Linked DNA regions of Mus musculus: region 1 is reported to be linked to region 2. The links are microRNA targets in miRTarBase. Many come from high-throughput screens and were not tested one by one. Region 2 holds a microRNA gene; the other region holds the end of a gene's coding sequence.

What was found. The annotated mature microRNA mmu-miR-10a-5p reads UACCCUGUAGAUCCGAAUUUGUG and lies in region 2 at 1,930-1,952, shown strand. An mRNA with a match to its seed (bases 2 to 7 or 8) in the 3' UTR can be bound and repressed. Matches are read on the target gene's strand: a 7mer-m8 pairs with bases 2 to 8, a 7mer-A1 pairs with bases 2 to 7 and ends in A, and an 8mer does both.
Region 1: miRTarBase lists Zyg11b as a target of mmu-miR-10a-5p. Seed matches in the 3' UTR shown: 7mer-m8 at 1,037-1,043.

The regions. Positions count from the first base shown.
Region 1 is chr4:108,232,283-108,236,338 of GRCm38, forward strand. Zyg11b (zyg-ll family member B, cell cycle regulator) reads right to left here. Exons shown (of 14, transcript NM_001033634.3): 14 at 1-3,912. The coding sequence ends at 3,722. Among named protein-coding and RNA genes, the nearest start is that of Zyg11a, 16 kb to the left of the region's middle.
Region 2 is chr11:96,315,257-96,319,323 of GRCm38, forward strand. It overlaps Mir10a (microRNA 10a), which reads left to right and starts at 1,909; the gene lies at 1,909-2,018. It overlaps Hoxb4 (homeobox B4), which reads left to right and starts at 3,011. Exons shown (of 2, transcript NM_010459.7): 1 at 3,011-3,967. The coding sequence starts at 3,514. It also overlaps a transcript of Hoxb3 not described here.

The sequences.
Region 1 (4,056 bases), not on the chromosome of region 2:
TTCATCAGCACGTACCAAGGGGGGAACCTATGGTCAAAGAGCATCAAAGACAAACCAGTATTATCCTAACACACCTGTAATTTCAAACCACCACAACGAAGGGACTAAAAAGCTAAGCAAGGGGTGTGCTGAGGGACGTAGGCAGGATGGTTGAGAGTTTTAAGCTAGCTCTGATTCCATGAGACAAAGGAAAAAAGTCAAAAATTGACCAGAGACCAGCCTAAAAGGACTCATTAGTAAGAGAACTTTATTAAATGGATTTTTATGATTGGTGTTGTTTTGTTTTGGAGACAAGGTCTCTCTATATAGCCCTGGCTTCCTAGAGCTATGTAGACCAGACCTTGAACTCACAGAGATATATAGCTGCCTCTGCCTCCCAAGTGCTGGAATTAAAGGTGTGTGCCACCACCGCCCAGCCCCTATTCTTGATTTATGGTTTTATTGATAACTTAAAAAAGAAAACATTAAATATCATCTTTTCCTTTTCTGATAGTAGGAGTTGAAATCGGTGTGCTTCCCTCCAGTACTGAGCTGAGTTGCACTCTCAACCCAGAAGGAAAACAAACTTCAGAGTACAGAGACCATGGCAAAAACATATTCAGTACACAAAACCCAGATGCTTTGATATCTATATTTTGCTTTATTCGACTCCAGTCTTACAAAGTCTCATAATTCTGTTTCCTCTCTGGCAGGAACTGAACCTGGGTCCTTGTGCATGTGTTTCTTCCAGCAGATCCAAGTCTTGCTACTCCTGACCCTATGGCTGGTGTCTGAGCATACTGATGAGTTAGTTCAACAAGGCCATTCAGGTCAGTCTAAACTATGCCTGAAAGCACACCACTAGGCCAGTGGCTTTGGAAGTACCAACCAATTACAAATGGGAGGCCTGTAGAAGCTGGCTGGACATTCGTAATTTATAAATACACATATGTATTTACTACATTTTAGCTTTAATCCCAGCACTCTGGAAGCTCTGAGTTTGAGGCCAGCCTAGTTTACAGAGGGAGTTCTAGGACAGCCAGGACTACACAGAAAAACCCTGTCTGGAAAAACAAAAACAAACAAAACAAAGCAAGAGCTATCCCTTAGCCAGACATGGTAGCACATGTGTGGAATCCTACCACTCACTCAGGAATGTCAACTGAATGAGATCAATATAGACTACAGCCTTGGGTCTACACATGGTGAGACTCAAAAACAAAAATAAAACACGGGCACTAATAGCTTGATTTACTTGGGATACAATCTGTCACTTTGAGTTTGTGGGCTTTTGTTTTTAAGTTTTGTTTGTTTGTTTGTTTTGGGGCAATCTAGCCCTGACTGGCCTGGAGAATATAAATTGAATTGGTTTTGAGCCTTCATGTATCAGGTTATTCTCAATCACTCTGTAGACCTTTTGACCATTTCTGTCTGGTTCTGCTTCTCCAGATAGGATATCAGGTAACCAAACGTTGGTTCTGAATTTGCTACGCAGCTGCTAATACTGGGATTACAGGTGAACTCTACCACACCTGACTTATTTTTCTGAAACTTTGTAAAAGGTTAGCAATAGCCTATAGCACATGTACTTTGGTCATGACACTTGGAGCCAAAGTTCTCAACTATTTCACAAGTGTACTTTGTAAGCTTGGCAAATCAACACCACAAGCTTGCTAGTTATTGTAGACTACATCATATTATCAGAACTTTGTCTTAGACGTTAAAATTGAGGGGGAAATGTCAACAAAAAGCAAAAACTACTCCTTTGAAAGAATTTTCTTTTTTCCAAATGTGTTTAACTATGAAAAAGACATCTTTTGAGATGGAGGCTGCTGAGACAAGCATCACTAGGTAGCCCAGGCTAGTCTCAGAATGGCAATCTTGTCTCCAGTGGTGAATCTGAGCAACCATCTTGGGTAAAAATGTATCGTATAGCTCTTAAAATTCCTTGAACCAATGAAGTAAGAAATAAACCATAGTTTTATATGGCTTTTTGATAATTCTATGTGTCTGTTTTCTTTCAGTTTGATTCAGTATTTGTCCTTATAAAGGAAGCCTGAAACATTCAAGTCCAAGGAGTGTGACAGTAGTATGAAACATGAGTCAGACATGGTAAAAGCATACTAGCAATAAGCTTGCTGGTCACTCTTTATAGTCCAGGCTGGTTCAGAACTCATATTCCTCTCACCTTTGTCTTCTATGCACTAGGGTACAGGTGCACACTCAGATGCACAGCTTAATCTAGCTCCTTTCTAAACTGAAACATTCCTGACTTACTTTAAAACTACGGAAAACATTTGAGACATGTATGAATGTGGTCAGAAGAGATTTCAGATTAAACCTATTTACAAAACAAGATGTGAGCATCCTGGTTTGTTTTGAGATGGGCTCTTGCTGTCTAGTCCATGCTGGCCCTGAAAGCCACCTGTTCCTTAGTGTTTTGAATTAAGGGCAAGTGCCACCAAGACCCCCTTAAAATATTTGTTTTGTTTCGTGAGAAAGGGTCTTTCCCATGTAGCCCAGGCTGGCTTGCAACTCTGTGGTCTCCAACTGTAGTTCCTTCTGTCTCATCCTTGCTATTACTGGATTATAAATCTGAATTATTCCCAACTTAAAATTATAGTGGAATTTAAGTTTGTTGCTAACTTGCTGCCTCCCGGGTTCATAGGATGATAACTGATTCTTCATATATCAATTATCTTATAGGAAAGGCAACTGCCTAAAAACTAACCGATCAAAACCATTTCCTTTTATTCAGCCGACTCCACAGGTAGCCATCCAGCCGCAGCCGCAGCAGTAGCCCACTCTTCTCTTGAGCTTTTTCTAACATGAACACATAATGAGGATCCACTACATGTCACTCTAACCCAGGCTGGCCTCAAACTCACAGCACTACTCCTGCTCAGTTTCCTGAGTGTTGAGATTGCAGGCATGAGCCATTTATGCCTGACAGATACACATATTTGAACAGAAGAAACATTCAACTTTTTGTTGTGTGTGGTGCTGGGTATTCAATTCCTACATTCCAAGAACATACTCTACCACTGAGCCACACCCCAACTCAAGTTTAAATTTTTGCAACAAATTTTCTGTCAATTGTATTTTAACTAAGCAACTTAACTCTATTCCACTGAGTAAGTAGCAGAGGGACACCAGGAGAGCCTTTTCCATTTTCAGAGCTCTACCACAAAAGCAATTTCTAATTCCCTTCAACTCGGTCCTTTCACGGTCTTTCTTTTATGTTCCTTTGATTGCTACTCAGGCTCCTGACAGCAAGAAGCTTCTAGAAACACAACAGCTTTCATCACACAAAGAAGGGCATCATGGGAAGGCAACAGAGAATGGGTGCATTTTTACAGAGCAATATAAAATTACATCGAGGTGGAGCTGAAGTCAAGTCAGCAGCCTTGCTCACCTGCAAGGAAGCCTGCGGAAGAGTGCGTGCAGCTTACCGTGAAACTGTAGAATTTCAAGCACAAGTTAAGTTCAAACACTGAGAGAGAGATTCCCTAAGAGACAATATTGAAGGAAGACCTTTCTTGCCTCATAAGTTAAAAATCACAAAACAAATCAGACTGTTCACATGGGCAGTACTGTACATTACCAATTCCAAATGGATCACAGGACTCTTACCACAGACACCCCCCACCCCGCCCCAAACACCAGAGAGCACGCTAATCCAAAGGAACCAACCACAAAAATGCTTCCCGTTGTCTGTTCGTTACACAACTATCTATGGCTATCAATTCAGCCGGGCCTGGGGCTGCTTTTTACAGGGAGGGGGCCTTCCATGGCGCACAATGTGTTTCTCTAAACTGTCCAGAATGGCCACAGCAATCTGCTGGACATAGGGATCTGTCTGCTCGTGTTCTTTGATGTTATACAAATGCTGCAGTCCTCCTTCTTCAATCAGCATGCTGCAATACCTTGAAGCTAAAAGAAAAGAAAAATGTCTTAATGTTATTCCACAAACAAAACAAGTCTTCAGAGCTTAAAACAAAACTGCAAAAACACATCAAAGGCCATGCATGGTAGTGCATGAAGCAAATCCACACAGTAAGACCCTGCCTCCACAAA
Region 2 (4,067 bases):
AGAGGTGAGGCTGCGTGTAGCTGCAATGAAACCTGTCCTGGAGTTGCAGATAAATCCTGTCTTCCGCCCCTGGCGTCTACACAGGGAGGGAGTGTGGATGGGGGTTGCAGCTGCGCCTTGGTGGGAGGGCAGGTGGTGGCTCTCCTATTCGCAAAAGCGAAAATCTCAGTGCTCCGGCCCTAGGTTCAACCATACCCAGCTTTGCATCTCTCTATCCCTATTCCTCTCCCTTGGAGCTCAGGAAACCTGGGCCACATCCCTTGTTAAAGCATAGATCAGCAAAATGTAGACTAGCTGCTCTCTGAAACAGAGTTAGACCAGTATTCAAGAGCAGGACAGGAGATATGGGATAGGGGAGGGGCCTGGACATTGGAGTGGGTCGTGGTACTTCTAAATACCTTTTGAGAGGACTGTTCTTGCTTGATGCTTGGGTCAAAGCAGCACACTTTGTCTATGGGTGACTAAATTGAACCCCGTCTTTGATGAAGATCAAAACTACAATGTATTTTCTCTGACTCTCTCTCCAGTTAAGTATGAGTCTGGCCTATAGGAGGGCATTGGGGTTAGAAAACAAACCCAGAGGACAACATTGCCATGCCTAGATCTATGAGGTTTAACAATAACAGCAGCAGCAGCAACAACAACAACAACAACAACAACAAAGACTGAGGTCTCTGGACCCAGTTGCCTGCAGGTGGGAGCTCTCCTGCCCATTTGCAAGGGTTCCTGGTGTGTGCATGCGTGGGTTTGGCTTGTTTGTGTATGTTCATGAAATTGACTGTGTTGTAATTTACTCAGTAAGGGCAGAAGTATCCCCCAAGCCTAGGGTGTTATAGCGGTGGTGATAGTGAGAAAGACTCTGCTGGACACACTTGCCCTCACCTGGTCACAGCTCTCCCAGTTTAAACTCCAGATCCTCAATTTCTCATTTTTTCAGTTTAGAAAAGTCAAATGTTAGTGGGAGCTTCAGGAAGTTCACCCAAAAACTCCAGAATCCCATTTTGGCCACACAGCCAGCAACCCAAGCAGGTGGATGGGCCCAGTTAGTGAGCCTCTAGACAGAGGATCCTTGCCTGGGGATAAGGTGTGGGTAGGGGGGGTCCTCCTCACACCTCTAGGGGGGTGTCCCCTTATTCCAGCCTCCAGGAGGTATGGGGGGGATATGTGAGGTTGGGAGGGGCCTGCACATCATCTGGCTGCAACTTTTATGGTTCCTCATTGCCCTTCATTCGGAAATGAACTGCCTTTGATCTTCTTCTCAGGTTGTAAACGGAATTGCCCGTCATTAAATATGGGGGGGGGGGCCATCTGTTTGGTCTCCCAGCATTTTTCCTCACAGCTGTTTTTCTCTCTCTTTTTAGCATTCACTTTTTCCAAAAGGACTTTTATTACACCCCCTTCACACCCAGACACCTCTCCCTCCTCCCTTTGCTTTGGAAAATATCTATATATGTGTTTGATCACAAACTAAAGGCTGTGGGGGCAAGGGAGGAACCTATTTGGGGTTTTGTATTTTTTCTTAAAAAAAAAAAAGTCATGGGGGGAGGGGAGGGGCCGAGGGCACCCAGAAAGGCCTGATTCTGACTTCGAGGCAGCCTCGGGATGACCCTTCCTTCTTTTGTGCTTAGCTAATGTTTACATCTAATAATTCATGCGCCACCGAAAGTCGCGCGGCAGCCACGAGGTTCGAGTCCCTTTGCACAACAGCTGCCTTTTTAAAAAATCTTATTTTATTTTTTGAATAGAAAGTTGAAACCCCTTGTAATCCCAAGAACGGACCCACAGTGACTTTTCTGCTCCCAGATCTCAAAATTAAAACAAAACGAAATAAAAATGAAAACATTCAGATCACACCCAAAAGAAGAACGCACGGAAAGTAAGAGAACTGGAAATTTCCTGGGCCAAGAAGACCTGTCTGTCTTCTGTATATACCCTGTAGATCCGAATTTGTGTAAGGAATTTTGTGGTCACAAATTCGTATCTAGGGGAATATGTAGTTGACATAAACACTCCGCTCATATTCTTTCCCAGAAGAAAAATAGATTATTTTCTAAATGAGGACAATCCAGTGACTGCCTTCAAGAAGACTCCTTTTCTTTTCCTCCCTCAACCAATGAGGGAGAAATCTCATCTACCTGAGGTGTCCCCATGCACACCCCTGGAAGCTTGGGTCCTTGTTCACTCAAGAGATTAATGTTACTGGTGTTTTAAAATTTATCTTTAAGCCCCAACCTACCTATTCTTATTCTGGGTCCAGGGGGCTTTATTGGAAATCATGAGGAGGAAAAAAAGATTGCTGAAGGCTGCAGTGTGCAAAGGCAAAGGAAATTTGCTTTTTAAAAGGATGCGAAGATTGCTGTTTCGTTGAATTCAAGACAAGATGCCCTGAAAACATAAGGTTGCCATGGGTGTTCTTGTGCGTGTGATGTTGGTGGGGGCGTCACAGCTAGGGCTCCTTTACTTAGTATTCAAGGTTGTGAAATTTCTTTCTGCCACACTGACAGAGGCGGCGGCTTTAGCGGCAATTAGAACTCTTGGTTAGCATTGCTTCGACGAATCTGGAATTAGCAAATTACTATTCAATTGGTTTTAGGAACTTGCGGGTTTGGTTTGGTTTCATTGTATCTTCTGTCTTTAGTGGAGGGAGTCCAGCCGTTCCTCTGACCTTGGGCCTTGTGGGTTAAAGGGAGGGAGTGTTGAGGAGGACAGACTGACGGACACAGCCGATGCTCATAGTGCAGCTAAATGCGATTTGGAAGGCGAAGTCTCCCCGAATTAGTGCGTGAATTTCCTATCGATCTGCTCGCGGTTCCATTCATCTCTGACAAGTCCCTCTGCGCACCCGCCTTCTAGCTCCCGACGCCTCCTCACTCACCTCCTACCCCTCCCCATCTGGCTGCACTGAGAAGCCCCAAGCTCAGCGCCCCTATGACCTAGTGGGTACCCATTTCAAGAAGGCGCTCCCTGGTCGGCCAACCACTTAAAACCCCACACAGACACCTAGTGCGTGAGCTCCCTCTTATCCTGGGGAGGAGATGGGGCCCTATGGGAGTCAGAGAAAGGTTGGTGGAGATTAGGTAGGGCAGGGGTGGGGGCTACACCCGCAGCCCCAACTTCTGAGGGATGCAGGGTTTGTGCTCTGCCCAGCCCCCTCACCCCCAAACAGGCCCTCCAATTAACCTGCTCACTCTTTCTTAGTTCATCACCCCTCTCTGTTGTGGAGAAAGCCAGGCGAGGAGGGGGTCTCCCCGCGGGAGCCCTATGTAAATCCTGGTGTTGGGTGGGTGGGGAGGGGTAGAGAAGGGGAAATAAACCTCTTTGGCTGGAGTAGGGTCCGGGTGAGCAGATTTCCTTATCCGGGAATCGCAGGCCGGGTGGCCATTGGCTCGGAGGATCACGTGGGCCTCTAACTTTGTTCACTTGACAGTAAGTAGGAGGGCTTTCGGAAACAGGAAAACGAGTCAGGGGTCGGAATAAATTTTAGTATATTTTGTGGGCAATTCCCAGAAATTAATGGCTATGAGTTCCTTTTTGATCAACTCAAACTATGTCGACCCCAAGTTCCCTCCGTGCGAGGAGTATTCACAGAGCGATTACCTACCCAGCGACCACTCGCCCGGGTACTACGCCGGCGGCCAGAGGCGAGAGAGCGGCTTCCAGCCGGAGGCGGCCTTTGGGCGCCGGGCGCCGTGCACTGTGCAGCGCTACGCGGCCTGCCGAGACCCCGGGCCCCCGCCACCTCCGCCGCCCCCGCCGCCCCCGCCACCGCCCGGGCTGTCCCCTCGGGCTCCAGTGCAGCCAACAGCCGGGGCCCTCCTCCCGGAGCCCGGGCAGCGCAGCGAGGCGGTCAGCAGCAGCCCCCCGCCGCCTCCCTGCGCCCAGAACCCCCTGCATCCCAGCCCGTCCCACTCCGCGTGCAAAGAGCCCGTCGTCTACCCCTGGATGCGCAAAGTTCACGTGAGCACGGGTGAGTGCGTGGGCACCCCTTCCCCTCCCACCCCCGGCGCTTTACAGTGAAGGGACCTCCGAGGCATGTGGGGGAGGGAGCGAGGGGAAGCCAATTGTCC